4 linked regions of the Struthio camelus genome follow. The protein of the gene in region 1 purifies or fractionates together with the protein of each later gene. This does not show direct contact. Links are inferred from orthologs where the notes say so. Each region holds a gene or a part of one and is shown on either strand. Other genes may lie near its edges. The genes, in order: ESR2, MRPS9, SRSF5 and NUP205.

Region 1 (7,327 bases):
CTTTCCCTAACAGAAGAAGAAAAGAGCAAGAGTATTAACACTTGGCACTAGTAACCAAAGTACTAGTGGCCACAGTCAAGGCCAGCTGGAGCCTGTTTTTACAGAACAGGGAACGTTGTAATGACTGCAGATAAGTGTCACAGAGGTAACCTAAAGAACCCCCTGCCAGCAACAGAAAGCACGAATGGACCACAAGGAAATGAATAAGAGAAGTTGCAGGATTGGTTAATAGGGATTAGACTATGATTGGGGGGGGGGGGGGAGGTTGCGATTGGGTTATAAGGGGATCAATACAAGCAAGAACTTGTGGGCAAGGTCCTTCTGTGGAGGCACCCAGCTTAAGCTGTACCTTTATTACGCACAACAAACTTTTTTTTTGGTTTAGAAAAATATTCAAAGTTGAATTGGGAGAATAAGCAGAAACTGAGGGTAGAGCCAAAATGGTTGGAGGTGGCAACTGCATAACTCCTTGAAGGTGGCAACTGCATAATGGCTGCAACACTAAGGACTCTCCCTTTCCATGTAACCATCTCTCTGATGTGCAGAGATCATAGCACTGGGGCGCAGCTGCCTACTAGAAGTTTGTTTTATTTTTAAGCTTGTCACCGCTTTGGAGCAGGGTCCTTTTTTTTTTTTTATTTTGTGCTTGTACAGCATCTGATACAATGGGTTCTTGCTCATATCTGGGGCTGCTCAGTGGCATAGGACTGTACTGCACCACGCAATTCACATTAGCTTAATAAATCCAAAGCGTGGTATCTTTGATGCATGCCTGAAACCTTCTAGGTAGGATCTAGAAAGCCATATCTCACAAATATGGGAGATTTTTCAGTTCACACTAGGCTCAGTTTGAGTTTCCAAAGCAGCTCCATAAAACTGTTCAATCCCACTCTGAAAAAGCTAGGTGTTGTCTCTACTGCACTGTTACCTCCAATTATAAGTTTAGCCTGGCCATCACTTCATCTAGTACTTCTTTTACCTCAAAGCAAGCACTAGGTGACCTACCCCTCAGGGCCGGGTGGCGTGTTCAGAGTTCTCCCTGCCATCACCATTTATCAGCCACTAATCCAGACCAGGACTGCTGATCCATTCCTGGTGCTATTCACCAATTCAAGCCAAACCCAAAGCTTTCAGTGCATGGGGCGTTTTCTAAACCTAGGCTGCTTTTGGGGAAATGACTGAACACACTGCTCACTGCAGCGGACCTAAGCTGCAAGAAAGAGCTACTCCGAAGCTTTGCTCTGAGCATCTATTTCAGATACAGAAACAGAGAGGTTTTATCATAAATAAAGAAGTTTGAGCATACTGCATGTTCATTTCTCCTAACCCTCCACGTTCTGTACACTTAAAGCACTGTCCTTCTCATTTGGATTAATTCATTATTTACTGTACTGTTACACAATAACTCATCCTTTGCAACTCATTTGCTCATGAGGAAAATTGTACTTGCAGCAAAATCGAAGGCTGAATTACTGAAAAGCTACTCAGAGATATTGTGAAAAGTCACTCAGAGATAACTACCCAGCTCTCAGTACCTTTTGCAGACTGTTCAGGTATTAGAGGCTGTTTCTACTGAAAGAAACGGCCTTAGCAAGAGACGCATTAACTTAAACATCAAAATCCTGCACACACAATAGTGGCCTGCCGTCCTGCATGCTGTCCTCCCCATGCACAGCTTACAACCATATTCACTAATCTCCCAGGTAATACTTAAAAAAGCAAACAAACAAAGAAAAACTGAATACGATGATTTTCTTTGGACCTTTTCTGAGCCCTTCAAGACTTTCTATGTACAAACTAGCCTTATGTTCTCAGCGAGTTTTCCTTATTTCCCTTATGTAGGGGTCTGCTACACAGGAACAAGGAAGCACACTCTCTCTCTCTCTCTGCTTCTCTTCTTCTCTCTTTCTCTCTGTCATACACAGACACACACACAATTTTTCCCTCTCTTTAAATACGTTTCACAAAAATAAGTATGTCAGTATCTACCTGATTTTTTTTTTTTTTTAATAACTGTCATGACTCCGAATTAGGAACTTCCTTCACCTCTCTTTGTGGAAGAGGTGCTTGGTGGCAGGAGAAGACAATACACAATACTTACCAGTTCTCATTTAAAATACACAGAGAAACCTAGAATTTTGCAGCTGGTACACTGCTGATAGATTCACCTCACCTGATAATATACGACCGACTTGCAAACAACCCCTTTTATTTGGTTAGAGGATAAAGTAACAGACAAAAATACTCTACAAGATAGTCACTGAATAAGCCATTCAGTTGACTATGAAGTCAGGAATATCCTCTTTATAACAGACAATTCAGTTGAAAATTCCTAGAAAAACCACACGCCTATCATTTTTTCTATTGACAGACTCTTGGCCTGTGGGTGCATTCTGGACAGTAAGAGTTCTCTGGATCACTATTTCTCTAGAGGATCTGGAAGAAAAAGATATCTGCAGGGTATATAGTCCCTTTCCTCATACCTCCTTGACGTACTCTACTGGCAAAAAGAAGAAATACTTAAGGCCCAGTTTTTGTAGAGCACACTATGATTTTGCTATACTGGACATAACCATAGTAGGAATAAATAAACTGAAGAACAACAGTTGTACAGTTGCAACTATTTTTCCATTTCTTATGGTCTTCAGGACTGGATGCCTCTGAGATATGTTTCAGGCAAACACTTCAACATTTCATTGGAAATGACATAATCCTTTCTCCTCTATGCACGTACTAAAAGCATGTGCCTTTTCCCAGGTATTGGCACATCACAAAAGTCCTAATCTCTGAAGACAGTTGCTAACGTAATTTAGAAAATAAGCAGCAGCAGAAGTGAAATATCTCCCCATTGTATCTATAAATGTTGAGAAAAAAAAAAAAAAGACAAAACACCATACTGCCAAGGAAGCTAGAAGTTTTACAGTGAATGCTCAGGCTATCTATAAAACATACTCATCCTACCTAAGTTGCTACCTTTCCTGATTTCTAGCCAGGCTAAAATTGCAATAACATGTACCTTGCGAGTGCCTACTGCACTTCAAGAGCAATTTCTATGCCAGAAGAAGCAAATCTGCAGAAGGCAAATCACTAAGCTCTACCAGTACCAGACACAGGGCAGGCAGGATTCACTGGCTTCAAGACTTCCCAGAAGCACGATGGTCCAACGAAGCACACAAGCCAGAGACGAAGCACACAAGCCAGAGACGGAAGTACCCAAGCCATCATTCTAGTAATTGGCTCAACAATTACAGGGTGAAAAAACACGTGAGCAGCCTTTAATCACGGATATTCAGATTCCAAACAGTTTAGGCCTAGTTTTTAGGAATGCTCCGCTGTCAGTCGGGGGTAGATGTGTTGTTCTCAGCAACGCCTAAAAGCAAGCCCTCCTTAACATTGTCCATGTTTTAAACATTGTCCGCGGATTAACTTATCTTGATTCAAAAAGGTGTGACCCACGCTTGCATAATATGAAAACAGAGACCTATCGAAACAAGTTCCCGACTCCTGCCCATAAAGGATCCTTAAAGCGCTGCACAAATACCTAAGGCTAGAAATCACTTCGCCGTTTCACCTCGCCGCAGGCCATCATCCATGCAGGCGCCCACCTCCGCGCCCAGGAGGATGCTGAGCCACCCCAAGGCCTTCCCCGGGGCGGGGGCTGCCGGGTGCCACAGAAAACCAAGCGGACGAGATAGGCCGAGCTTCTTCGGGGCCGGCGTGACAGCGTTTCAAACATTCCTGAAGATCCTCAAGAACACTACTGCTTCTCTCTAGGCTGCTTAATAACACCCACCGCTCCCCGCCAGGCAGCCCGCGCTGACCGCAGCGCACACCCTCGGCCGAGGCCTCCGCGGCCCCCTCCGCGGCCAGCGCCCGGGACCCCCGGCCCCGACCCGGGGCAACCGGCGCCTCCGGGCGGCTCCTTCTCCCTGACACACGGGTTTCCTCCACAAGCACCGCTCTCCCGAAGGAGAAGGGAAAACTCCCTCCGCACGCTGGCGGCGAGGGCAGCCCCGGCCTCTCCCTCCCCTCCCCGGGGCGCTGCGGCGGCTCTCGCAGCCCGTCGCCCCGCTACGTACGCGGAGACTATCTTGCCGCTGAGGATCTCGGCGGGGGCCATGGTGAGGGCGACGGCCGAGCGCGGCGGGGATCCCGGAGCGACTGCGGGCAGCGCTGGCCCCGCCGCGGCCCTACTCCGCGCCCCACGTGGCCACCAACTTTCGGCGCGGCCGCGCAAGCACCGCCCGCGGGGCGGCAGTACCGCCGTGCCGTGCCGTGCCCCTTCCCCTCCCCTTCCCCTTCCTTTCCTCTTCCCTTCCCCCTTCTCCTCCCTTCCTCGCCCCGCCGCCGTGAGGCGCCGGCCCGGCCGCCTCCCGCCGCTGGGCTGAGGAGCGCGGGCTCTGAGGCGCCGCGAAATGGCGGCCGCGCCGCGCTGCGCGCCCCTGCTGTGAGGAGAAGGGGCCTGGGCGGGACGTGGGGGCCGCAGGCGCTGTGAGAGGAGCGGGGAGGGTGGAAAAGCAGCCTCTGCCTCCGCTCGGGCGTTTCAACGCGTTTGTCCGGCAGAAGGTCACCCAGCTCGTCTAATCGGCACAGAAAGAGGGTAGCGGAGAGGGGGGTTTTGGCCCTAAGGTTCAGTGAGGTCTTTGCGGGTGGTAGAAATGAGCTCCCAGTGGCCTCTTCCGAGGGACGTGCCTGCAGTAAGTTATCCCCTTGGGACCGAGGAACATGTAGTTACCCATCCAGCTGGCTGCTCAGATGTGTGTGCTTCTCCATGCCTGCTGTTACTTCTATAACCAGTGCTTTTCCTTATTCTGCAGGTTAGTACAGACATTTTAGGACCTTGCTGAGAGAATGAACTTTCAGTGGTTTTCTCAAGCACACAGCAAACGTGTGGTGATGGTCAAGCCAGAGCTGGAGACGCGAAAAGCAGTCACATGTCACAGGTGAGGCAGGCTTGCCCAGGCAAAGTGAAGTCAGGACCCAGAGAAGTTGAGGAGCCCATCAGTTTTTACCACTAAGATCTAGCACACGGTCAGAGAAGGGGCCAGTATGCAAGAAACCCCGGCTAACAAGGTCAGGGACAGGGAACTCGCAAAGTGCCCCCCCGTAACTTAGATTTTTGCTTCATATAGGGCTTGGAAAAAGGAAGTTCATTCAGTCCTGCTGCAAGGTAATCATTTCACAAGTGGGTTTGGGAACTGTCAGGTTTTGAGAAGGGAGAAGTACAAGCCTCTCAGGCTCCCTCTGGGACACAAAGCTCTGAGATACACGTATGGGTCCTTCAGCCACAGAAGCTTTAGGATTGCTTGTCTGGGATTCTAGGAGGGGAATAAAATCCATACATAGTTCAAAACTTGTCTGAGGGTAAGGCTTTTCTCCTTTGATTTCCGTCCTTCCATAGCTATGGCTCTTTTGCCTTCCTCCCCCCCCCCCCCCCAGCTTTCATTTTAGCGAGGAGAGAACTCGCTGTCTGTTGAGCAGTCAAAGCATCTTAAGTTAACAATATGTTGCAATTATAAGACCAGAGGTTAGAAATTTCTCTTTAAAAGTGACATGGAAAAGAGGTAAAATTTTGCATTTTGGAGCTTTTATATGCTAAATAGAAAAAGCTAGAAAGAACTTCTTTCATTATATATTCCCTTTATTTCCCGGAGCATTCCAACAGTTGTAAAATTATACACTTAAAACTGAGATTAGACAATTAACTGAGAGAAGGGATTTTTTTCCTAGGCTGCTTAAAATTCTGTGCTTCGTTTGTTTTTGCTGTTGCCTTTATCTGAGCCCTGAATGAACTTTCGGGGGAAAAAAACCTATGTTTTTAGAAGAATTCAGAAGACACACTCCTTTGGTTCAGGACAGCAACAGCTTACAAAAACAAGCTTTGCCAACCAAGATTTGACACTTACAGTGCAAAAATATCAGGCAGGAGAAGAAAAAGAAGAAATCCATCTCGTTCGGATGACCTGATTTGCACAGTGAGCAGAAGCTGGTGCCATCAGGAGCTCTGGTTTCCTACCCAGAGTGGCTAGCTTGCATGATTTGTGTGTGCGTGTGTTTGTGAGTCTTATAGCATATGCTAGTTTTCTCAGTGTTCCAGCTCTTGAAAAAATGTGTTCAGGAGAAATTTTAGATAAAAAGGTAATTTTTTAGCTCTCACGGTGGCAGATAAAATTTTGAAAATGACCTGAATGTATTGTCTAAAAAATGAGAAGGGAAGTAAAAATAACCCTAAACAACTTCTTTTTCTTATTTCATGATTTTTAAGCCAGACTCATTTTTGGGAATGAATTTTAAATGCTTATGCCAGAAAATCAGACTTACTAAACTGCTTTTTATCATAGGAGAAATATCTTTTGTATTCCTAAATTTTCTCATTAGTCAGGCACGAAAGCTCAGATTGCTGCTCAGAAGTTGTGGGTGTCATGCCTTTATGTAAGAACACCTTCTTTAATGTTTAATCTTGATTGTCATCCTGAGGTCAAAATACTAGGAATGGGATGGGACCCTCCCCATGGAAGAGGGATTGGGTGATGAGAAATGGCTGAACAGACCCCTCTGCTCAATTCATGTCAAAGCTGTATCCAGCTCATAAATGGCAGCAGAAAATTTGGGGCTACTATCATGTAAAGGAAATCGCAAGGAAGCACAGTGGCAAAGGAGACAAATGTTGTGAAAATATGTAAAAAGTCGAGAGCGATGATCACTGTTTTATGCTTTGAATACACTTCTTTTGACCATGTTAACACAAAAGGGTGAGGAAAAAACCAAAAACCTAATGCCATGATAAGAACGGAGAGCTCTGAGTGGTCTGTGTTGTACCAAAGCAGACTTATCCTCTAAAGGCTGTTTGTTAGGATGAAGAAGGATAAAAGCAGCCGCTTCAGGGGAACGTGAAGCTGCAGGATTTCTGAGATGTCTCTGCTCTGAGCGCTGCCCCAGGACAGTTGTTCTACTTCCCTCACCTCCCAGGCATCCTTGGGTTTGCAGCTCCCACAGTATGACTGTTTACCTTTACATCCACCCCCCTCTTACCTAACATGTCAAAAGTCATGAAGGTTGCTCTTTAAAAAAACCATGAAGCCTGCAGAATCCACGCCAGAAAGACTCTCTGTTACTGGTGAGCTAACAGCTGAGCCTGTGATTGCACAGAGCCCCAGAAGGTGCAATTTGTTCTGAGGAACTGACCTTTTATCAGCAAACTAAGGAAGAACGTTAGAGTGTGCTTTACCCACCAAGTAGAACAGTTAGGACAGGGCATCTTTCTATCCCAGCTTGCTCACTTCCAATAAAGGAGGAGGAACAGAAAAGTAATTAGCTTCATGAACCT
Region 2 (6,905 bases), on another chromosome or scaffold:
CATTAGAAGGAACTTTTACTCAAATTGAACGATTTCCTGAGAGGTAATTGCAAAGCTAGTATTCTCCCACACAGAAAGTCTACTTTCCGTGCACACTGAACCAAACCCAATATTTCAGGTTTCGTTTATACTGTATGCTATGGAAATATGAGATAGCTCTAAACACAGAGACACATTTCAAGCATCAGGCTTGCATAATGGGGAATAGGATTTAGATCTGGTTGTTTTGAGGCACAAGTTATGAAATACTAACAGGCTTTTCAACTCTAGTTTAGTTACCAACGGCAAAAAAGCTACTTCCAAGCATATAGTTGTGGTATACCGGTGGTATACTGTCAGCAGTGACAAGTGGTACTACCCTTCTGATCTCAGCACATATACCATCCACAGTGATTTAGATAAGGGAGCAGACCCAGCCAAATGCAATAGCTCAGCAGAAGATTTCAGAGAACCATATGAGAAGAATGCTACGCAATCACAACACAAATGACAGACAGTAACCGAGTTAGATCATTTATTTTCTTTATAAATTGGGCTAGATGTCTAATTGTGCTTTGCTTATTAGAAGGATAGGACACAAGACCTATTGTTTAGTCGTAGCTGAGGAAACTGAATTACAGAGTTTCTCTTCCATTTCCTCTCTCAATACAAGAAGTTTTCAAACACAGGAAAAGTCAACAAGAAATTAAACTATTTTCCACATTAAGATGGATGAGAAGTAATGAGTTAAATTCCAGCAAGGGATATTTAGGATACGCATCATAAAGAAGGACAGGTAGGCACTTAACATAAGCAATGGTCACAGCAGGTCAAAGAGGTGTGTCAGCTTAGTACCTTGTCCTCAACAACAGCCACAAAGACAGGACAAACAAGTAGCGATGTTTATCCAGGACACTTCCCTGGTCTCCAACAATCTTCAGTTCAAAGACATGCTGGTATCTTTTAATTTAGGAGTCCTCAATTGAATTTTATTGAGTTTGATTTTTTTTGTACTCACATAAGTGATTGGCATCCACAACATCCTTACAACAGTTCCACAGGTCAACTGCATTTCACATGAAAAAAATATCTGTCAGTTTCCTGGGCCCTGCCTCCCATTAGTTCCTTTCATATCTTTAATTCACAGACCGTACAAAATAGGAAGATTCATACATAGCTACAGGCTTAAGTATAGATCCTGCCTTTTGGGGATGGAAGAAGCAGACGAATGATCTCTCAAGGCCTCTTCGAGACCTGCTTTGATACTGTTTCCTCAATTATGATAGAAAAAGATTTCAGCTCAAATTCAAGCAGGGGTCTGACCAGGAAAACTAAGTTACTGCCATAATCCTATCTTTGATAGAGGATAACCAAAGCCAAACAAGATGCTTAAATTGAAAACTACATCAAGCATTACATTTTCAACCTTATTCTCTTTTTCATTCCTCATACAACTTCAGCATGTGAATTTCTGACGGCTGCATAAGAAACTACTCACATGGACACCAGGTCTTTATCCTGAATGGGTTAAATCTAATATTAGAGGAGAAAAGGAGGAAAAAAAAAAGTAAATAGTTCAATTTGCTCCTTCCAGTATTACCTTTCGCATACCTAACAGACCTATCTTCTGTTACCCCATAGTCAGTCACTGAAAAGTTCTTCAGCCCTTACTATCCTAAATTTCCTTGTAACTTCAAAATGTTACCAGCTTGCCTTTATATCCATTTTTTGATCACTGAATTAAATATATATAGGTATATCAAATACCACAGACACAATTATCACTTCAACACTGACAGCAGTTAAGCTATTTAATGAATTGGTACTCTGTTGAGGACTGGTGTCTCTCAAAATAAGCAGATAATTCTCTTCAGTGAGAAACTGCTGCATCTGTGCAAAACATTTCTCTCTCCATTGCAGGAATCAGGAAATTGCATTATCTAGCTATCTGCTGACCAAACACGATTCAAGACAGTCAACCTTAAAAATTATTGTTTATTCAGGAAAATCAAAAGTACTTTTACACATGTTTAGGGCCTTGCTCTATACATTAGCTTTCCTAATTCTAGTAACATACATAAAAACAGGCCCTAACTACATAGAAATATTAAGAAAAAATAAGTAGGTTAACTGTAGGACTGACTTTAAAGTGGCTGGCTTAAAGCTGTGCTAAACACTTACATGTGTATTTACAGTATGTCTTTTCTTCCCAGTAAATACATTTCATGAGTTACTGGGAGGTGAAAGCACACAAGTTTTAGTTTGGCCCGCTCTTACTGAGACACAAACGCCTCACTTTGGTGCGAGAAGCAAGCATATGGGCAGACAGCTATAGCAGGCCAGCAACCACACTGTAAATCCTCGCACCCATTAAACCAACGCAAATTCTGTGCACGCTCCTAACTGTTTAAACCCCGTTTACACCAACCGCCCATGCCCTACAATGCCACCGCTGAACCAAGCCACGCAGAGACAGAGAGCAGTACAAAAACTCGGCACCACTGCGGACCGACAGCTGCCCCACTGGGAGGGGGCACTCCGAGAGAAGAGCGGTGTCACCCCGTCTAGGGGAACACCCCCCCACCCCACCCCACCGTGCCCGCCAGGCGCTCGGCGCTGCCGCCCCGCCCCCGCCCAGCCGCGCCGGGGACGCGAACCCGCGGCGGCGCCTCGCCAGGCCGCTCCCGCCCGGCCCGCGCCCGCCGCACCGGGCTCGCCTCCCCCCGCTTCGTCTCGGCAGCCCTGCCCTCATCCCCGTGTGAAGGGGAGAGCGAGCTGCCGCAGCCCGGGCCCAACAAGCCAGCTCCCCACCCCCGCCAGGGCCCGGAGCGGGGGCAGACAGCACGAAGGAGCCGGTTTCTCGAAGTAGGGCCCAGGTGCTCGGCCCGGCCCGCCTCTCACCTGCGCGCGCGGCCCGTCCCGCGCCGCCGCGCTCCAACGGCCGCCCAGACGCAGCACGCGCCCAACGGCCGCTACCGTCGCCATGCCCGCGGCACCCCGCGCAGGCCGCCGGGGAGAAGGCACAGCGCCGCAGCCGTCGGCGACGGGCCTGAGCGCCGCTGATTGGCTGGGGGGCGGGGCCTGCCGCGCGCCTGCGCGCTGTGGCGGGTGGGTGTCTTCCGTGCTGTGCCGCGGCAGAGCGGCCGTTAACGGCAGGAGTTTGTCGTGCTGTGTCCCAGCACCTCGGGGCCGCTCCTGAGCGCGGCTGAGGGTTGCCGCCATGCGGCCCGACCCCATCTGGGGCGAGGGTGGAGGGCCGTGCTGAGCTCGGCGGCGGTCCTGGCCCTATAGCGCCTCAGTCAGTGCCAGTGGCTATTTTCGCTCCGTAAACGACGGCAGAGCCCGCTCAATTTTGTAACCCGCGTTTAGATTTTAAGGTGAAGGCCAGGGGCTTGCGCGGGCGTGCAGGTGCCGCCCCTAGTGTGCTGACATTCCAACCATAGAGGGCTTCATTTGCTTTCAGTCTCAGCGAAGGGGGAGATAGCGGTTTTTTTTCTTTTTAAAAAAATTACCCTGTTGAAGGTGATACCGAGTGTAGTTACTTAAAGCAGTGGTAAAACAGGTGGTGTAGTTAACTTCCATTCTCCAAACAAAAATGATAAACTGTGTTTTTCTAGTTTTAAGGCCCCGGAACTAGATTTTTACCTAGGCTCTTGTTTTTGTTGAATATTTGGCTTATGCATATCTATGTATTGAAACTTGAAATGTATTTGACAAGTAAAGCACATTAGCATTGTTAGAACTCTGCCTGGTCTTTAAAATTATGGTGTGTTATTTGTATTATGGTAGGACTGGGGACCAAATCAGCAGTAGCCGTCAGGCATACTTACATAAAATTGACTCTGCCCCAGTGAACTTCCAGTCTAAGGAATAAAGCTAAAAAGAAGGTGTCTTTTTAAAGTCGGTAGTGTTGTCAATTGTAGCATACCTGGTGCAAACCTGCTACTCTTGAGAGTTGAAGCACAAAGTATATTTCAGCCTAGCCTTGCTTTTTTTTTTTTTTTTTCCATATACAAATACATATTCTGTTAATCACAGTTGTCTCTTGCCAAATTGGGTTTTGGGATCAATACTGTTGCCTCCCAAGGTGACGTTAATCTACATCCTGAACCTTCAGGATTTGAGACGGTTTATTGTTTCACAGAGTTATGTAGTATATACCTTTACAGGTGATCAGATTTTGGCAATAGTATTTTATATCACAAAAAAGTGTCTGGAAATGAACTAAAACTTTCTTTTCTTTTTAAAGTTTGTTCTACTTCAGACTTATCAGGCCATATCTTTAGGAGCACTTGTTATTTGACAGGAAATTCTGCAGATGAATCTCTTGCTTTTCCACTTTGTTTTTTTCAGCCTGTTCACTGGTGGCTCTTGCTTCCTTCCATTCAACTGTGAGTATGATTTCCTTCCTAGGATGTAAAAGAAGGTATAAGAAAACCAGAAATGGACAAGGGAATCCACCCATGCGGGGAGGTCAAGGAAAAGCTGTCTGGAAAGCCCTGTTTATGGTCACCAACTGTGAAAATGAAACCATCAGTATTTTTATTGACATGGATACAAATCAGTGAATGGTATGAATTCTGCACTGAGTGAAAGAGGCAAAATAGCTCTGTTTTATGCTCACCTGACCAAGGACTGGGAATTGTCGCCATATTTCCATTAACACACTGTGTAGCGATTGTGTTTGGTTAGCAGCTGTTTCTTCCAAAAGGGGAGAAAAGGAGGTTAGGTTAGGGTTAACAGTCCCGGTGACCCACCTCCTGGAGTAGCCGGCAGAGCTGAAGGGGTACAGAAAGCTGTGGATAGCACAGCCTTTTCAAGGACTGTGGTGAGTCTACCATCTGTTGCCTCATTGCTTGGCTTTGTTCAGCAGCTGAGGAGTTCCTCAGTCCTCACTATGCTAAGCAATTGTTACCTGTTACTACTGGCAGCAATATAGAAACAATGTGCCATGGGAATTAACTGTTTTCTTTCTCCAGACATGATAAGCTGTTAATTAAATTTGAGTAGCAGGGCCACCTTATACATGCATTGGCCACAGGTGTTTCGAAACCACTTGATATAAATCCAACTCCCCGCATTCCCTAAGACTCCATCTACACCAGTGGCCACTGTGAAATAAAACTAAATGTTACTGTAGTCTAGACCACATTTTCAATGATGTTTGGAGTCTATATACAGCCAATGGTTTCAGTATGAAATAATATGAATAATACAAATATTTTATGAATATAAAATTGTCCTTAAAAATTGCTGAATGAAAGGAGACCTCAGTATATCTGGAGTCTAGTGTTCAATGATAATGGCCATATTTTGTCTTTTCTGAATCTTTAGAGTGATTAGTTCTTATAAATTTATGGCTACCCATTCAAGATGAAAGATTTTGATAGAAGTTTCCTACAAATCCTTGGATTCAGGTACATTTCCCAACCATCCTGCTGCTGTCAAGAAGTTTACGTGGGTAATACTTGGCCCTGGAAGATTTCTTCTACAGCAATGCCTGGTTTACCAGTTTCTAGATTGGGCATATAGCTAAATACAGCTGAGTGTAGTTATTCTTTGGCATGCTTTGATGAAAATGTGCTGTCATGTTATTGACAGTGTATGTCTGGAACACACTGTTAGTGTGTTCCAGAAGGATTCTTTCTAGTGGAAGAATTGCCACTCCTGCAGGAATGAGTCTGTGTTTGCAAATTAGAAATCACTTTTTAGCACAAGCCAGGCTAAGATAAAAGTGCATGGAAGTTATTTACATGCTCAAGCCCCTGCTTCCCCAGCCCTCTCTCAGAAGTTTATTAAGGCAGAGGGAGGGAGAAAATACAGAAAAACCATGTCTAATCTACTTATCCCAAGATTAATTCCAAACGCTTCTCTTTCCATCTCTGTATTTAGTTGACAGACTGTAGATGCTTACCTAATCCATGCAAACTATCTTGATACTTGGCTTAGCCCTCTGCACATCATTAGCCTCCTGCGTGGCAGGAATATCCTTTTGAACCTAGCTGGGCAATGTTCAACTCCTGGAACTCGTTCATGTTGTGAACCTTATTACCCACATAGTCATGTAACTTGCTAATCGTACTCTACACAGTCACATAACTGGGAGCTGCTGCCTGCAGCACGTTGCTGGCTTTTATTTTTAGACTAGATAACGAGCACATCATTTGGGGTAATAAGAGCTTTGGAGTGCTATCTTTCAAGGACGGTTTGACACTAAGAAAACTGGTGCTTCTGTGTGCTGGCCATGAGAAATTTGAAATAAAAAATCACTAAATACATAAAAGGAAACCAGGATGAGCTTGGCATGTGCATGGGTAAGGGGATAGCCTGAGGAGGATGTCCGTAGTTATATGCTGAGCGCAAACTCAGGGCTGTGCTTCAGTTCAAATTTGCCGACTGCTCACATTGCCAGCCTACGTGTAGGCCGTCTTGGAGTGAGCTTCGGGGAGTCGTTTCGTAGTCAGAGGTAGTATTTGTAGATTTGTAGCCTGAGTTCTGGTGACTGATATAGCTAGTGTGAATACCACTTACTTGAGGAACAGGTATCCCTGTAGCAGTGACAGAGATGTATGGAGCAGGGTCAAAAAGCGTACTGAGTTTCAGCTTATGGCAGCATAAATGCAGCCCTGATATTACAAGAATGGCAGTGCTGGGTTAGACCAAAGCTCTGTTGAGCCTCTTGGCTTGAGTGTAGCAATGGGCAATATCAGATACTTATGGAAGAGCAAAGAGGCAGAACAGATATATGGAGATGCTTCCCTGATACCATCTTCTGATCTGTGATGACCTGAAGGTGGGGAGAAAAGGGGAAGCTTTCATAGAGGATGTAGCAGGATCTGCTGTCGTGCAATGGAGTAAGCTAACCTGCAGCAGAGAGAAAGGGACTCCAGAAGACAGAAAAATGTAATAGGAGAATTAAAACTTCT
Region 3 (7,967 bases), about 30 Mb from region 1:
ACAAACAGATGGTAGGAAGGAGTGGGAGGCAGCTAGGGGAGTGTCCACATAGTCAAGCAGAGTGATACTTATTTTTTTCATCAGCAGTATTGCACGTAAGTCTAAGATCCAGAAAAACGGAGGGACGCTCACAGACGAGTGATGAAACGATCAGAGGCTAGGAGGACTTACAAGAAAAGATTAAGAGCGCTAAATATGTATACCTTGCCTAAGCAGGGACAACTCAGGAAGGTTTATATAACCATCCAAAGGGAACAGTCGCCTGGGAGAAAAAGGGAGTCTCTAGGCTAGTTCGAGGGGCCGTAACTCAGTGTAACAGGAGGAATTTTGAAAAGCAAATATGGGTTAAAAAGAAAAAGCTTTCCTCGTGAAAGGAGGAAAGGGAGCAAGGGAAGCCCGGCCTCTCAATTTCTCTGTATGTCAAGGGAGGGAAAGGGTTATGCTTTAAAAAAGGCAGGAGGTAGTGGCTGGGAGACTAGGAAAAAACTGAATGCTGAACTGGCCTGCCAGCTTTTTGTCTTCCTGTTTTCTGTTCCCAGACAGAACATGCTTACTAGGAAGAACAACCTGTGCGGGCCGGTAATCCTAAGCGCCATTTGATGTTTGAGTCTGACAGTGGTAACAGAAGAAAACTCTTCTGCCTGGTGGGATGTATGTTTGTGCTGGGAATTAGCAGCTGAAGACATCGGAGGGTCACATAGCAGAATCGGATCCCTGGCAAAGCTGATAATGACACGTAATGATGCGGCTTTATTTAATGCATCATTCACTGTACTAGCCATCTCAGGGGGTTTGTATGAGAGATGGCTTGGCTATTTCAGGGCAGCAGAAATGATGCCAAAGAGAAAGCAGATCTGCACAATCATGTCTTTTGTTCCTGGCAGATGCACAGTCTGGATGTTGTCGTAGGTGAACGCTTAACTCTAGACCAATAGATGTAGTATATTACTGGGGTGAAGAAAAAGTAGAAAATGTGTCTTCCCCCAACGTGTTCAGTCTTCCTAAAACAATGTAAACGTTAAGTTTTCTGACCGTTCTGTTCATGAGCAAAGCTCAAAAAGTGTCTGAACAAAAAATTTATTTTCCCTAAAAGGGACAGTCTCAACTCAACGCTGAAAAAGTAATAGAATCATTGATCTGAATGCAGAATTTGGGAAGGTAGCTGCTCCATCATTACGTCATATCTTAAACATGTAGACAGTTCTCAGTTGGAGATGATGCCGATTCCTGCACCAAGCAAAGAGGTGTTTTGGACCAAGAATGGTGGAAGGAGCAAAGATAAGGCTAACAAATAATTTACCGGCAGGAACTGGAAACCAGCATTTCTAGCCTTGTCTTCTGAAGCTTCCCAACAATCGCAGGATGCCTGAATCTGCAGTTGTTTTCTAAGATGGAACAGGAAAACCCTGCCCCTTTCTGACACTGCAAGGAGCAGCCGCCTCTCTGGCAGGCCCAGTATATGGTGCCTGCAAGCCCGGGGCAGGCAGTGCAAGTGTTTCTGGTGAAGGGTAGTAGTGAAGTAGTGAAGGCAGTAGCTGTGCTGTTTCCTTGTAATGGGCCTTATGCCCTAGCTCGGGGCCAGAGGAACTCCCATCTGTTAGGCTAAAAGTTTGTTAACTTCTGGCACCAGATTGACAGGATGGTGGGTGATTAACTAAAAATATCAGATCCAGATAGATTGCTCCCCTGAACCCGGCTCTGTGACAACCATCCCCTCAGTGGCCTGTTTAGGTGAGGGAGAGAGGAGGCAATACTGGAGACATTTGTGACATTGGGTTACTGCTATTTTGGAGCCTGGCACGCGCACAGCAGCTCACTGCACACTGATGTCAGGGCTCTGAGTTTAAACTTCGTGTGAGCTGACCTTTGCACCCTAGCATAGGCCTTTAAAATCTGCGTAGAAGGTAGCACTGCTCAGTCAAAGCTGGATGCTTAGGAGATGCATGTAAAATCTTCCTCCGACCCTTTTACCAGACCAGCAGGCAAACCAAGGCCTGCAGTTGGACTCTCTGGGCTGTACCACCTCAACTGGTATATCTGCTGGTGTAAATTATTTCCTGGTTGCTGTACATGAGGGTGCCTTGTAGCACCAAATACCAGGTGTGCTGATGGAGCACATCTTGCAGAAAGCGCTGCTGTCTGGTGATACGATGAGCCTGTTCTACTGAATCTTATCTTTCGTTTAAACAACGTTTCCAGTGTTTGTGGCTACAAGGGAAACGTTACAAGTGTGAGTTGTTGTCTTCCTGAGGGCTTAGATGGCTATTGTTTTGGGCTAGGGGGAGTGTGCGTTACAGTGCCCTTCCTGGTTACGCTAGCTCCGCGCTGTTATGTCTATTACATAGGTTGCAGGAAGGTTTAAAGCTCAGTGGCCCAGTGTCATGCAGTGGCATGGTTCCTAGCAGGAAAAGCGCCTCGACCACATAGCACTTTGGAGTTAAATGAGCTGTTGTGGATTCGGTAGTGTGGATACTGGTGAGTAGAAACCTCCTGGACTGAGTCTTCCACTGAATTGACTGTAGTATCAAGTCATATTTATAGCAATACCATGTATTCCTGTATCTTTAAGCAATATGAAAAGAAAGACCTCTTTATTGGTATATGGATTTCCAAAGAGTTACAATGCTTTAATCGCATCTTTTCCAAAATGAATATTGTGGCATAAAAATTCTGTATGTGCTAGGCATTAATTCCTGGATGGTTAAATAGTAGATAAAATTGGAGCTTGCGTTGTTTTCTAGCACGATCTATCAGAAGGTTGAAGGAACCAGGATGTCATTATGTGTGTGTGTGTGTGTGTGTGTATACATATATGTACATATATATAAAACAAGTTTTATCCTTTCCGCTTTGTGCTTACATGTGTAATGTGACAGCATTAGTATAGCTAATTTAAAAGGGCTGTCGTGATTACCACTTAATGAGTTTGTCTGATTTGTGCAAGTTTATTGGTTTAATGTTGTGTTTGCTTAGTGTAACTTTTATATAAAAATAACAGACTAAACTATCTTTAAAATAATAAACTAAACTATCTTTAGTGATGGGACATGCACCATCTTCTCCAGACTAGAAAAGCATGTGAAAACTCGGAGCAAAGCATTGCAGGTGATATAAAGATGAAAAGACTTTTGCAGCATTGATAATACACTCCAGCCTTCTGCAAGGGTTTGACCTCTGTTTCTTAAAGATATCACAAAGCCCCATATACCCCAGTCTTGTCATACCTGGAGGGTACTGCAAAATCCACAGCTTTGTGTGAGGATTTGCTTGTTTGTTTTTTTTCTTCCGGTGGTGGGGGGTTTTTCGTTTTTTTAGATAATCACTTTTCGTGAACTGTGCGGCGCCAAATGTGTGTTTGAGCAGTTACTGTGCCACAAGAAAATTGAGGTCCTTCTTGAAGCTTTGCATCAGAAGGTAGTGCTTGGTGAAGCATCAGCCCTTTCCATCATTATATCATTAAGCAGACGATTTCTCATCCCTTAGATATCATACTTCCTGTTGTCACATCCCAGAATATTTTTTTTCTGTTTCTACAACAGCACTGTACTTGTTTACTTATTTCTAGATGGTAATCCACTTTAGTTCCCAGCCATTACACACATTACTACTACCTGAAATGGGTATTTCCAATTTTGTATTGGTGGATTAGACTTCTCCTTCCTAAACATAGTTTGCCCTTAATCTTGCAGAATTTCATCTTGTTGAATCATTCTTTCCATTTGTCAGACTCATTTTGAATTCTCTTCTTGTCTTCCGAGTATTTGACACTCTTCCCAGGCTGATTCATCTGCATGTTTTAACACTGTATGCTCTATTCTGCTAAACAAATTATTAATGCAGGCGTGCTAAGAAGATATCCCTGATTCCACAAAGGAATTGTTCCCAAGTTTGTCAATGGACTACTTTGAATGCAAACACTGAAAAGGGTGTGTTTCTAGCTTCCAGTGAATTTTATCCTGACATTTCCCTGCTTGCTTAAGAAGGAACCACGTGGCATATCACTAAAATCCTATTACAGCCAAGTTTAACACATCTGTGCTTTTTCCTCTTGCCTGCTAGCTCTGTTATTCCAAGACAGAAAGGAAATAGATTGATTTGAAACAACTTGCTCTTGATTGTGTGTCATGTTGGCATGAGCAGCCTTTCAGTTTATAGACTGAAAATATTTACAAAATGATTATTTGACCTTTTGTTCCATTGCTTTTCTGGTCTTTTAGGTTTAGCTTGCCAGTGTAAAATTCTCTGCTCCTCTGGGAAGTAGGGTATTCAGGATGATGCCAGAGATTTTTCAATGACGGTTTGTCAGTTGCTTCAATGAGTTTCCTAAGGATATTGCAAGTGCTGTCTACTTGAGTACACGTAAACTTTATCCTATTCTTTCCCTACTGTGGCCTACACCCTTCTTAAAATGAATACGGGGTCTCAGCTAAGCAAGAGGTGAAGATGACATGACATATCCAGTCTTTGCAATCTGCTCTCTTGCTAAAAACAAAAATTCTTGCTGGTGTTCGTAACTGGGGCTGTGTAAACAAAGAAAGAGATGGTTTGCCAAATCAAAGATGTGGTATGAACCGAGTTGCTTGGAATTGTAATGGCAGAGCATGGTGACAAGCAGCAGCAGTGTCACAGGCTGCATTTGGGGGTACATCTAATGTTGGGTTAATACACAAAGGAGCTTAGGAGGCCTTCAGGAAATGGCTATGGGCTAGCTGAGGAACAGCTGCACACGATCCTGCAGAAGCTCTCCAGTTACCCTCCGAAAGTTTGCAGACAACTCCGACCCAGTAAAGCGTTTTTGTAGTGGTGCACAACTTGCTCTCACGGGGTCATGCGATTTCCTCACGACTTCTTCAGTGTCTCAACCTAAACATACTGATCCAGTGTAAACTTGTTCTGATTATTCAAATATCAACCCAGGGAGGAAAAAAAAATCTTTTTTTTTTTTTTTTTTACTTTGTACCTGCAAGTATCATGTTGGCCCCGATATCATGTGTCCTTCTGCAGCTGGCATAAATTCAGCATAAAAACATGAAGCTAACCTAAACCCTACTGCATGCACTAGATGATGTCAGAAACATGACAGTGTGTAATGTTGTATTAGCATTAAATCTCTATTGCTATGTGATCTGATAATGCACAATTCTGCTGCTAATGAGCCTTAATTGCCTCATACGGTGGCAAACTGCAGGGACAGAGGCAGTGAATTCTCCAGATCCTAGCAAAGGGGATGTGGTGGGTTCCTGACTCAGCTGCCTTTCTTCTGAGCCACAGCCACTAGCCTAGTCCCAAGTAACAAATGCACACCAACTACAAGTGGCAGGTCTGCAACTTCAGTGATGAGCTACAGATCCATGTGTTAGCGTAAGCTACCTCAGGGACTAGTTGACTGCTGCTGCAGAGCTATAGTCAATAGGATGCTAATTATTATGTTTGGCTGGGAAAGACAGGTGTGAGGAACTGCGTCTAAGCGATTCTAGTATAAGCCAGCTGCAACTAGGTAGGTGAAGCAGTGAGAATCAATTTGAACTGTAGTAGAGTAACCCTCAGTCAGGCTCTCTAACTCTAACTGACTGCCGAATAACACAGGCCTGTGGCAGTAACTTTCTCACTGAATTAGAGTCTACTGAGTTCATCTTAGTGCAAAATGTGTGCTACAGCTAGATATATTTATAGCTGGTGGATAAGGACTCTTAGCATGACACTAACATCTATTTGGTTAGGAGCCACTTGACAGGTTTAGCTTTCCTGAAAAGCGTGTACAAAGAAAAATGGAGTAACCCAGGGAAAAATTTATTTCTAAATGTCTGTTATTCTTTTCTTTCTACCTCAATTTTCATTTTCCTTCTCCAAAGATTTTGAAAAAAGCATTTGGGGCTTAAAGGTGAAATTCTCCCTGTTTAGTTTTATGCCATCTTTCTGACACTTGTAAAAAGTAGCTCTAGAGCCTTTGTTGCTGCTACCTCTCAGAGAGCTACACTTGATCGATCGGTAACAGAAATGTGTTTATTCACAGAGCTTTGGAAAAAAGGGACAGAGAACAGACAAATAAGCGAATGGGGAAGAAGAAAGTAAAGAAAGGTCGGAGGAGAGCAAAATGGGGAAACACAGTGAAAGCAGTAATGAATATGCTCACTGGTAGGAGAATAGGATGCTAACAAACATTTCTGCTTCTGTTCACAGAACCATTGCGGAAGCTGGCCGTGTGCCAAGTATGTCTTTGGTTATGTGGCTTAAACAAGCAGCTTCCCTTGGGATCTGAGGGGCAGTAATTTCTGCAGATGGTCTTCAACAGCTGAAGGTAGTCTCTCTGAATGGGAGTCCCTCTTTTTTTCCTCTCTCCTCCCTTTTTTTCTGTTCCCTCCTTCCCCCTGGTTTATAGCTGTCTGTAGGGTGAAACCATATACCCAGAGCATCCTCCAGAAAGTTATTCCAAAGGTATACTACCAGTTGGTGAAGAACCACTTCCTTTCAGGTGGTTTGACCCTGCATCTTACCAGCTTCTTGTGACGACTTCTAATTCTTGTACTGAAAGAGTCAGTGAACAGTAAATCCTCATCCACTGTCTTTATGCCTTTCCTGACTTTGTAGATCACCAAATCTGTCCCCACTCCTCATTCAGGAAGGATATGCATTCATGGCCTTCTGCTTTAAGTAAACAGTAACAATGGCACAGCCCAGCCAGCAGTGGTCAAGAATTGCGCAACCCAAATATCCCCTCTGATTTGCCTTCTAGTTCCCATGAGCAAGTGAACAAGCTAGGATTTCATTCTGGCTTTTCACTTAGTCTCCCACCGCCTTGTCCCCTTTTTGCTTTCAAATAGTCATGTAGGGTAGAGTATATATACAGGCCTCTAGTAAGGAAGCAATAGTCAGCCTTGAGCCTATTACAGAAGACAGGACATCTTAATTTCAGATAGCCAAATGTATATTCCCTTGCCATTTAACCGATGTTTGATTGTGTAGATTAAGACTGTGAACTACTTTATGGACTAGTGTCATCAGAGGTTAGGCGGCCTTGTCAAATAGTAACGACAGTATTTCACCAGTAACCTTGATGAATTAACTAGACGGCTTTCAGCCTGCTTGTGTGGAGAAATGTAGGTGTTCTGCACGTTTACTAGATTAGCCAGCAGCTAGAGTGATGAAAAGTCCCATGTGGTCAAAAAATGGCCTGCAAACTGCAAAGGGAGAAATATTCCTTCATGTTAACACAGAACATGGAGAAACTGGGTGGAAACAGATCTGTCTGTTAACGGCCCTTGCGTGGAAACCCCATGTGAGTAAAAAAGTGCTAGATCTTCATGTGGTAACACCTCTGGGTGGCATGGAAACCTTTCAACAAGTGATCGTTGCCTCCTGGATCCCCTCCTGACTTTTGCTTCCCTGCTCCCAATGGTCTGAAAATGGATGAAGAAAGAGGAGGTTACTGGCTTGCAGTAACAAAGACAATGCTTTTAGGCTGCAGTTTCACGCTGCTAAAAATGAACTAACAGCTGTTTCTTAATAGGGTGCTGCTGCTCCTTCCTCTCTTCTCTGTGCCAGCACTTGTTTTGATCCCACTGCAAGCTGATTTTCAGGGAGTCAAAGCAACAAATCTGCTTGCTGCCTTTTTCAGAGCTAGTTTTCACTTGTTTACCTCTGTGAACTGGCTCTCTCTCCAGTCAGAAGAGATGCAGTGTTGGCAGGATCAGGACTGCCTGCCTGTTCCGGTGTTACCTGTTAGAACGGTGTAGCTCGTTGTGAAATCACTGCTGTTACATTTTAGATGGCACACCGGAACGTATCTTTCTCATCAGGTAAGGGTTATGATCCACGTGGATTATCACAAGCGTTGTCTTTTATTGCCAAAATTCTTTCTTCTGCTACACATTCTCCTATGTGTGAATCATCTTTCCTTTTCTCACAGAGCCAGATGTCACACAAAACGCAAGTATATATCTTTGTAATCAAAGAGAAAAGCTAGTGAT
Region 4 (7,764 bases), on another chromosome or scaffold:
GAATCCAAAGGTGTAATAAGGCAAGTGCATAATACAGCCTGCAGAGTCTATACAACTGGCATAACATGCTTTGGAAAGAGCTCCATGTGACTTTCAGAACTCAGCCTGAAGTTGTGGGACTGACAACTAGCAAAAACATCAACCATCTGTAAACCTGATATGGAAATCACTGAACAGAATGAATATCAATAAGGCAGCTGATGTGCCAACACTGCTACTTACTAGATCAAATATCTCCACTTTGCTTGTACATTGTCTTTCCACCGTTTTCCCTGTTGCACTTTTTTCCAACTCTTGTTAATTATTGGCAGTTACATTGCTACAATAATCAGATTATCTCCCAGGCTAGTAGCTGCCTCATTCCTTTCAGAAGCTGAATGAAGAAATTATTAGAAAAGAGAAGCTGAAATCTATTCTTAACTCTCAGATAGAGAACAAAGGAAAAAAAGACAGATAGGTCTAAGGACCCCAAAGCAAGAATTAGGAAAAAGTTAATTACCCGCGTGGTTCACAAAACAGCATGCAGCAATTTTACCTCTGCAGCCTGAACAGAGATCAGGGTCCAGAGACCCAGGAAAATTACTGTTTATCAAGACATTCATTTATGATCAGATACCTAAGGTCAGTAATTGTCCTAAATGACATGAGAAGGACAGCACTTGTTCACCATTGTTCACCTCCTCTCTGTCCATTCCCAGATCCTGAGGAAGGTATTCATATAACTGGGAGCACATTTAGCTCTTTGTTGCCTTGAACTAGATAAACTACTTATCCAAGCTAGCAACAACCTCACACAGTTTCTCTGATGAGCTTAGATACCATGGTGACAGCAGAAATATCTAGGATGGAAAACAGAGAAATTGCAAAGTTATTTTTTTGAGAATCACTGCAGGGAAAGGTCTTATACTTTGATTCTTCTAAGATTTGACACCAAGCTAACTTGATGTACAAAACGCACCTTTTTTTTTTTTTTTTGCAATAAAGACAGGATTACAGCCAGCTAAGTAGTTTTCTGGGAAATTAGCCTGCACAGTGACAGAACTCAGAGTTTTTACTCAGCCGAGTTAACATAACTAAAAAGCACATTCTTCCCCCCCCCCCTTTCAGATAGGGTCGGGGGTTAAAGATCCAGTTGATCAGCATTCCAGGCCTACTGTGAAGTGTTATACCCATTTTTACAGACGAGTAAGCTGAGAGGCACAGTGTTAGTTTCAGTCAACATGAGAGCTCAAAGAAGTTTTATTGTTTAATCAGTTGCCAGAAATGCTTTCCATTTTTTTGAGTAAAGAAGCATATTTCACAATGTAAAGGCTAGTCTGTATTTATGTAGAAGCACTTCTACAAGGCATCTTTTTCAGCTACAATGCAGAAAAGCTTTTTAATTTTCATTCTACTCCATCGGGCAGGCTATGATCACAGTGACACTCAAGATTAAAGGTAGGAAATTAAGGATGGCCTCCTAGGCATTACAGTAATGCACTTTTTATTACTAATAATTGTTCTTCCTAATCATAATAGAATGTAAAGAAAAGAAATTACAGGATCTTCATTGTTATCTCCGTATCTTCATGTGTGACTTGGCCATGAAACATAACGACTAAATTTAGTGTTATTAAAAATAATAATGCTACATTTGTATTACATCACAAAGCACCTAGAATCTCTAGCCAAAGATCAGGTTTTCATTCTGCAGCTCATTTTGATTATTACCAGCAATTATTTCCACCTGCAGAAAATAACATCTCTTATATGAAGATCTCACACAGCACAAGCAGGAACACTACCCTATAGGCAGACTATGACCTCCTGTCTCTGGAATTCAGAGGAATTAATATCCATCTCAGGTATTTAGCGTCAGCCTACCTTTGATACTTAACAGATTTCAATTTCCTAATTAAGGACGAAAGAGGCATGCATCCCTCACTGAACCCAGCAGTATTGGAGAACTTCCTGAGAACTACTGTTAGGAAGAGGAATGTGGTATTCTTTCCCTATGTAGTGTCTTGGCAAAAATAGTCTACCAAACCAGCCAGTTATCCTGGATAAACAATAAAATCCTAAATTAAAGGACAGCAAATAAAGCAAGAATAAGCCAGCATTACTATTCATGGACTTGCCTACTCACCAAGGCACGGACGAATGCAGTTAGGCCAACAGAAATGTTTACAGCGTATGGTATGGTATGGTTTATCTAGACACCCTTCTTTCTTCATCCGTACTAGGAGCTGTACTGCCACAACTGTTCTGCGGCAAGCTGTTTTTTTAGAAAATCATGTTGCCAACAGAGAGACTGGGAATAAAAAATGTTATGTAGCTGGAGCTAAATGTGGTATTTTTCTTCTGACGTTCAGCTGCCCAGTGATCTACCCCATACTATCTTCTACTTCCATTTTTATTTTTTTCTCGATGCTGCTCTGTCACTGTTGGCCAATTGGCAAAGACAAGAAAGAACTATCTGGAAATTTAAAATATTAAATTTGCAGTGGTTAGACCGGATTTTTTCCTCCAACAGAGATTTAAAAAAAAAAAGTGTGTGCAAGCTGGATCCAACTGAATGCCAAAAGAAATATGACAGCTCTTAATGCCTGGGAAATGCTTTTTTAAAGAATTGATTCATTTTTTTTTTTAAATTTTGTTTCTTAAGGAAATCAAGCTTAGGAAACTGCGCTCTTTGTCTGCCCAACTTTTCCAGTAACTTCTGAACCTGTTGCCCAGTTCCAACTTAATCTGATCAGAGGCTAAAGGGCTTCAAAAATGTATGTCCTCACAAGTTTCATGAAAATCAGGGAACAACTAAAGGAAAAAGAGCTAAATTAGGATCCCCGTGGATGGAAAGGCTGAAGCAAAACTTCAAGCTGCCCATGAGGTTTGCCCTCGCCAGGTGATCAGCACACGTGTCTTTGAATTTACTGTAATGCATGCTTACTCTTTCTCTCTCATGGTCCAAGCATTTGGGCAAAACAGGAGCAGAGCTGGGGCTGTGCAATGACCAGGGTACAGAAGAAGATACAGAGATGCCGTATACAAGTCTGTAGGAACCCAGGCTGTGTTAGTCCTACTGCTTGTGGAATAACCTGCTTGTTTTCTACTTTCACCTCGTGCCTAGCACCATTTCTTTCCTAGAATCAGACAATTCACTATTTATCATCTTCTAACTCCTCATTGTGCTACGCCCGCACTGGCTAATGGCTAAGACCAGGAAAAGGGAAATCTCAAGGAAACATAAGCCCTTTGACTAAATGAACAAATGAGGCCAACTTGATGAGAACTCATTCATCCTTTGAACTCTAAAAGAACCTGTTCTTGACAGGACAGACTTTTTTTTTTCCTCTAATTTTCTTCCCGTTCTCTCTCCTCTTTCTTTTCTGACTAATCCTTGTGAAGCTACTTCTCTGGTTTTGGTCTCTCGAAACTGTCTTGCCAATTCGCTCTCACTCCAGGGCCTCTGCTCTCTCTATATTACCCCTCTGCTATCCCATTATACTGAAGATCTAGCGAGGCAAAGATATTTATTTTGCCAATTTCCCGTAGGTCTAGTTCATTGGACCCTCTTTTGCAACTGCTGAAATATGGTTTTAATAAAGTTCAAGAGGGAAAACTACTGGCACTAAAAGGAATATATACTTTTAGTGGAACCTTTTATCTTAGAGGTAATACAGGAGGGAATTTCTGGAGGTGACTTGAGATTACTACTGGCATAGCACATGTAAATTGACTTCAGATATAGGAGACTTCTTAGATACTAATATTCATTCTTTAGCTCCAGACGCATGTACAAACGTCCTTTTAGTTTCTTTTCTTCATCCTCGGTATTTTTTTTTTCTTGTGCATACCTTGAGTTTAAATGCAGCTTTCTCCTCTGTATATTCCCTCTGAGGGCTGTTTTTTTCCTATACAAGATTGTAAACCCTAGCTCACTATGAAAGACCAATAAATATATGACTTTTAAATGCCACGCACCTGCTCACAGAGTTGAGCAAAAACTTACGGTTTACTACTTATCAGTGAATAGGGCTGTTTTAGTTATCTGCATTTTAAATAAGGATCATCTGCCATAAAAATGACTTACAAATGATTTACTTCATTTTTTTTAGAGATATCAGTCTGATGCTACAGAAAATGAAACCATTCAGGTTGTGGTGGTGGGGGGGGAGGAAAAGAACAGTAGTGTATTTTTGTAATTGAAAAAAAAAAAAAAAGGAACAGGTTTAATAAATTTACCTGCTGGTGCAATATCTGCCTTCAGACATTCTGCCTTATTTAATGAACAACACGGCTTACGCGGCGGGGCAGGAAAGGCTCCCTTCGACCTGACCGGCATAAAGGGTGGGGGAAAAGAAACACCCGCCGGGGCAGGAGGGACATCCCGCCGGCGGCGGCGGCGGCCGAGCGCGGGGCTGCCTCCCGGGCTGTCACCCACCCGCTTCCCGCTCCCTTCCCGGTAGTCGCCTGGAAAGCGCGTTAACCCCAATCCGGAGCGGACGGACACACAGAAGCGGCAAATCCGGAACAGGAAAAAAAAAAAAAAACCACCACAAAAAAAAACAAACCCAAAACTCCCCGCCCCGTCCCTGACTACAAGTCCCAGCAGGCGCTGCCGCCGCCGCCGCAGGACCCTCGGCTGTCGGGCCGGCGGCGCTCGCTCGCTCGCTCGGCGGCGGCTCAGGGAAGAAGCGAGGCTGCGGGAGCAGCTGCGGGAGTCGTCGCCCCATCCGGCGCGGGTGGAGCGGAGCGGGACGGGGCGGGTGGCGCTGCCGCGGCGGCGGCGGCGGCGGGGGAGGCAGCGCGGCGGGCGCCTCGGCGGGCTGACGGGCCCGGGGCCGGCGCCGCCTGCGCGCCTCGCTGCTCTCCAAGATGGCGGCGCCGTTGGCGGTAAATTCGGGTAAGAGGCGGCGGGCGCGGGGCCGCGGCGGCTCCTCCGCCTCGCCCGCGGCTCCTCTCGGTCTTCCCCGTCGCCTAGGGGGTCCGCGGCGGCTCCCCGCTGCCCCGCGGGGCCGGGAGCGGCGCGGGCGGCGCCCCGGAGGGAGGCGAGGCGGGCCGGGCCGAGCAGGGTGGCTTTGGGGGTCGGGCGGCCGCTGCCAGCGGAGGAGGAGAGGCTCGGCGTAGGCCCTCTCCTCTGCGGCGGGTAACCGGCGGCGGCCAGGCCTTTCGGGTGGCTGGCGGCGGAGCGAAGTCCTGCGCTTCGGAGGTGCCGCCTCGCTCGGCTGAGAGCGGGAGCGGGGGCCCATCAAGTCAGTAAACGTGGGCGGCAACGGCAAGCTTCGCTCGGAGCGGTCTGTGATAGCGTAACGCGTGCGCCTTTCTGTGTAGCTCTGTGCCTCGCAAACAAAGCCAAGATTGTCTTAACGCTGTGCGCAATAAAGTACGAAAAAAAGAAGCGCATGTTGAATTTTGCTCGGTGCTACCCCGAGCAGTCTAGAAACGTTGCGCTGGTTCATCTTGTGCTCGGCGTTGCTAGCGCTCGGGAGCAGCAGGATGACTTAGTTGACCTGAAAGTTGGCCGCAAGGAGCGGTTGTGACTGACTGAGGCGGTGCTTAACAGTGTAACTGGGGGATTTGGCTAAAATGGGAGGGAAAGTGGATAAATGGAGAATAATTTAGGTTGAAAGAGCTCTGTGGAGGTTATGTGGTCCAAACAGTTTGAAACAGGACCCACTCAGTCAGGTTGCTCAGGGGCTTGTCCAGGCTAGTTTTGAGCATTTGTAAGGCTGGAGATCTCCTAGCCTCTCTGGGCCTCAGTTGCAGTATTTTCCCTCTTCTCTTAGTGGTTTCACTTTTTTTCTCAATAGCTGCTTGGAATTTCCTGTGTTGCAGCTTGTGTTTGTTGCCGCTCATCTCCTGAGGCGCCTGAGTCTCCCATCTTCCTTACTCACCCATTAACTAGCTGAGAGACAAAAACTCCCCTCACCCTTTTAGCCATTTTTTCTTAAGACTGAACAAGGCCAGTTCTTTCAGCCTCTACTGATACGGGGTGTTCTTCAGCCCCCTATTTCAGTATCTTTCTTGCTCTGGGGAGTCAGAAATTGGACCCAGTACTGGAGTGATGTACTCTCAGAGTTGCCTGACAGTGGCAAATAATCGTTTCCCTAGACCTGCTCCCTGTCATTTTGTTCATGCAGCTCAGTGTGTCAACGCCTTTTTTGCTGCAAGGGTGTGCTGCTGAGTAGTGCTCAGCTTCTCATCTTCTAGGACGTGCAGGTGCTTTTCTGCAAAGTTGCTTTCTAGCCAGTTGGCCCCAGCTTTATTGTTGCATGGAGTTATTCTCTCTCAGATGCAGGACTTTGCATTTGCTTTTGCTGAACTTTGTATTTGTTATCCCTATATTAATCTAACATAGTGAAGAAGCAGTCATGAGTGGAACATGGATGGGGCCAAAAGGTCTGTTAACTAAGGTGTTGTATGGCACAGTGAGCTAATTCAGCTATCAAGTTTTAAAAGCTCAACTTCTGTACCAAATAAAGAGTAATTTGTTGCAGGGAAGGTATTTTGATCCAACTGAATCGGTTACCCCCTCACAAAAAGAAAAAGGAATAAAGTAAACCCCCCCCCCTCTATTTGGGGGCGGGGGAAGGGTGATTATGGCTGTGTTTCTCAATACATGAAATGTGGGTGTTTAATTTCATTTGACCTATTGCAATTTTCATTTTGACTTTGCTGTAGAAAATACATGGCAAGAGATTCTGTAGCGATACAGTTTAAAGAAGAATGAGGGAAGAGGTGGCAGCTGTTATACATGGAAGATGAGATAAAAGTTAAAGTAGATATGACACTAGAACTGATGGAGATGTTGCCTTGGTTTACAGTTTCCTGTTTGCGGGGACAAGCATAACGTGGTTAAGTCTATAGTTTGGCAAAAACTTCAAGCATAAGCATAAACTGGCATTGCTTCCCAAAGCAGCAACTCAGCTTGTCCTTCCTTGCTGTTCGCTTGTCAGTCCTTTTAAAACTGTAATCGTTCCAACGTCATAAGTGGCAAAAGTCAGCATGGTTGCTAAAAGAAATGCAGTGATCCAACCTTTCTTCCATCCCCAGTTGCTCGTTCCTTTCTCTGCAATACTCCATCCTTGTGGTAGCCTAGCGGTTTGTGCCATCACAGCGCAAACCAGATTGGAGAGGTGATCCTACTGAAAATAAACTCTCTTCTGGAATAGTTTTCAGTTAGACTTGATCTTTAATTTGTTCTAGTGCATGACAGTACAAGTATTTGGGCTAGCGCAAAGCAATTGCATTGTAGGCACAAGAGCAAAAGCTGGGGCAGGGAAGCAGTTGAACAGCTTTTGGCAGGCAGCATGGATTGCTGCTGGTGTTCGTTGGACTATATAGTCTAATAGGAGTGATGGTTGGAAAAGACTATTTAGGGTAGAAGTCAATCTCTGGACTTTGTAGTTGGTTCTCCCACTTTTAACTTCAATCTGGAATGTGAAATTGTTTGTCCAGTAGTAACTATTTTTAATGAATTTATCCGGGCGGGGGTAACATTGTATGATTAAAATGCTGCTTAATGATGTTTTAAAAGGACAAGGACCTGTCTTTTTTGCAGACTGTTCTCCCAGATACAACTCCACTGGCAGATTTTATAGTATAGTAAATGCTAGCATGTGAGATGCTAGTTTTGCTGGTGCTAGGTTTGGGGTGAGAGGGTTTTTTGTTTTGCTTTTAGTCCTATTTTACCTGATGTCTTCCTCCTTTTGCAACAGAACAAAATTGGCGAAGTTCTGCAGAGTTTGTTACTGCTTCCAAGGTTGCTTAGGTAGTGGTAAAACT

The links.
Region 2: the proteins of ESR2 (region 1) and MRPS9 purify together in Homo sapiens (affinity purification with mass spectrometry; 3 studies listed by BioGRID and IntAct, with this or other methods). This does not show direct contact. The link is inferred for Struthio camelus from reciprocal best matches to the Homo sapiens genes ESR2 and MRPS9.
Region 3: the proteins of ESR2 (region 1) and SRSF5 purify together in Homo sapiens (affinity purification with mass spectrometry; 3 studies listed by BioGRID and IntAct, with this or other methods). This does not show direct contact. The link is inferred for Struthio camelus from reciprocal best matches to the Homo sapiens genes ESR2 and SRSF5.
Region 4: the proteins of ESR2 (region 1) and NUP205 purify together in Homo sapiens (affinity purification with mass spectrometry; 3 studies listed by BioGRID and IntAct, with this or other methods). This does not show direct contact. The link is inferred for Struthio camelus from reciprocal best matches to the Homo sapiens genes ESR2 and NUP205.

What each region holds. Positions count from the first base shown.
Region 1 is NC_090946.1:75,455,637-75,462,963, forward strand, and holds the start of ESR2 (estrogen receptor beta), read left to right. Parts: upstream 1-4,309; 5' UTR 4,310-4,447; intron 4,448-4,817; 5' UTR 4,818-4,943; intron 4,944-7,327. Other genes in the region: MTHFD1 (C-1-tetrahydrofolate synthase, cytoplasmic), read right to left, coding at 4,080-4,120.
Region 2 is NC_090942.1:154,010,374-154,017,278, reverse strand, and holds the start of MRPS9 (small ribosomal subunit protein uS9m), read right to left. Parts: upstream 3,014-6,905; 5' UTR 2,965-3,013; coding exon 2,881-2,964; intron 1,046-2,880; coding exon 998-1,045; intron 1-997.
Region 3 is NC_090946.1:45,282,559-45,290,525, reverse strand, and holds the start of SRSF5 (serine/arginine-rich splicing factor 5), read left to right. Parts: upstream 1-4,956; 5' UTR 4,957-7,967. UniProt on the Homo sapiens protein: Plays a role in constitutive splicing and can modulate the selection of alternative splice sites.
Region 4 is NC_090942.1:54,541,933-54,549,696, reverse strand, and holds the start of NUP205 (nuclear pore complex protein Nup205), read left to right. Parts: upstream 1-4,764; 5' UTR 4,765-4,854; coding exon 4,855-4,882; intron 4,883-7,764. UniProt on the Homo sapiens protein: Plays a role in the nuclear pore complex (NPC) assembly and/or maintenance. May anchor NUP62 and other nucleoporins, but not NUP153 and TPR, to the NPC.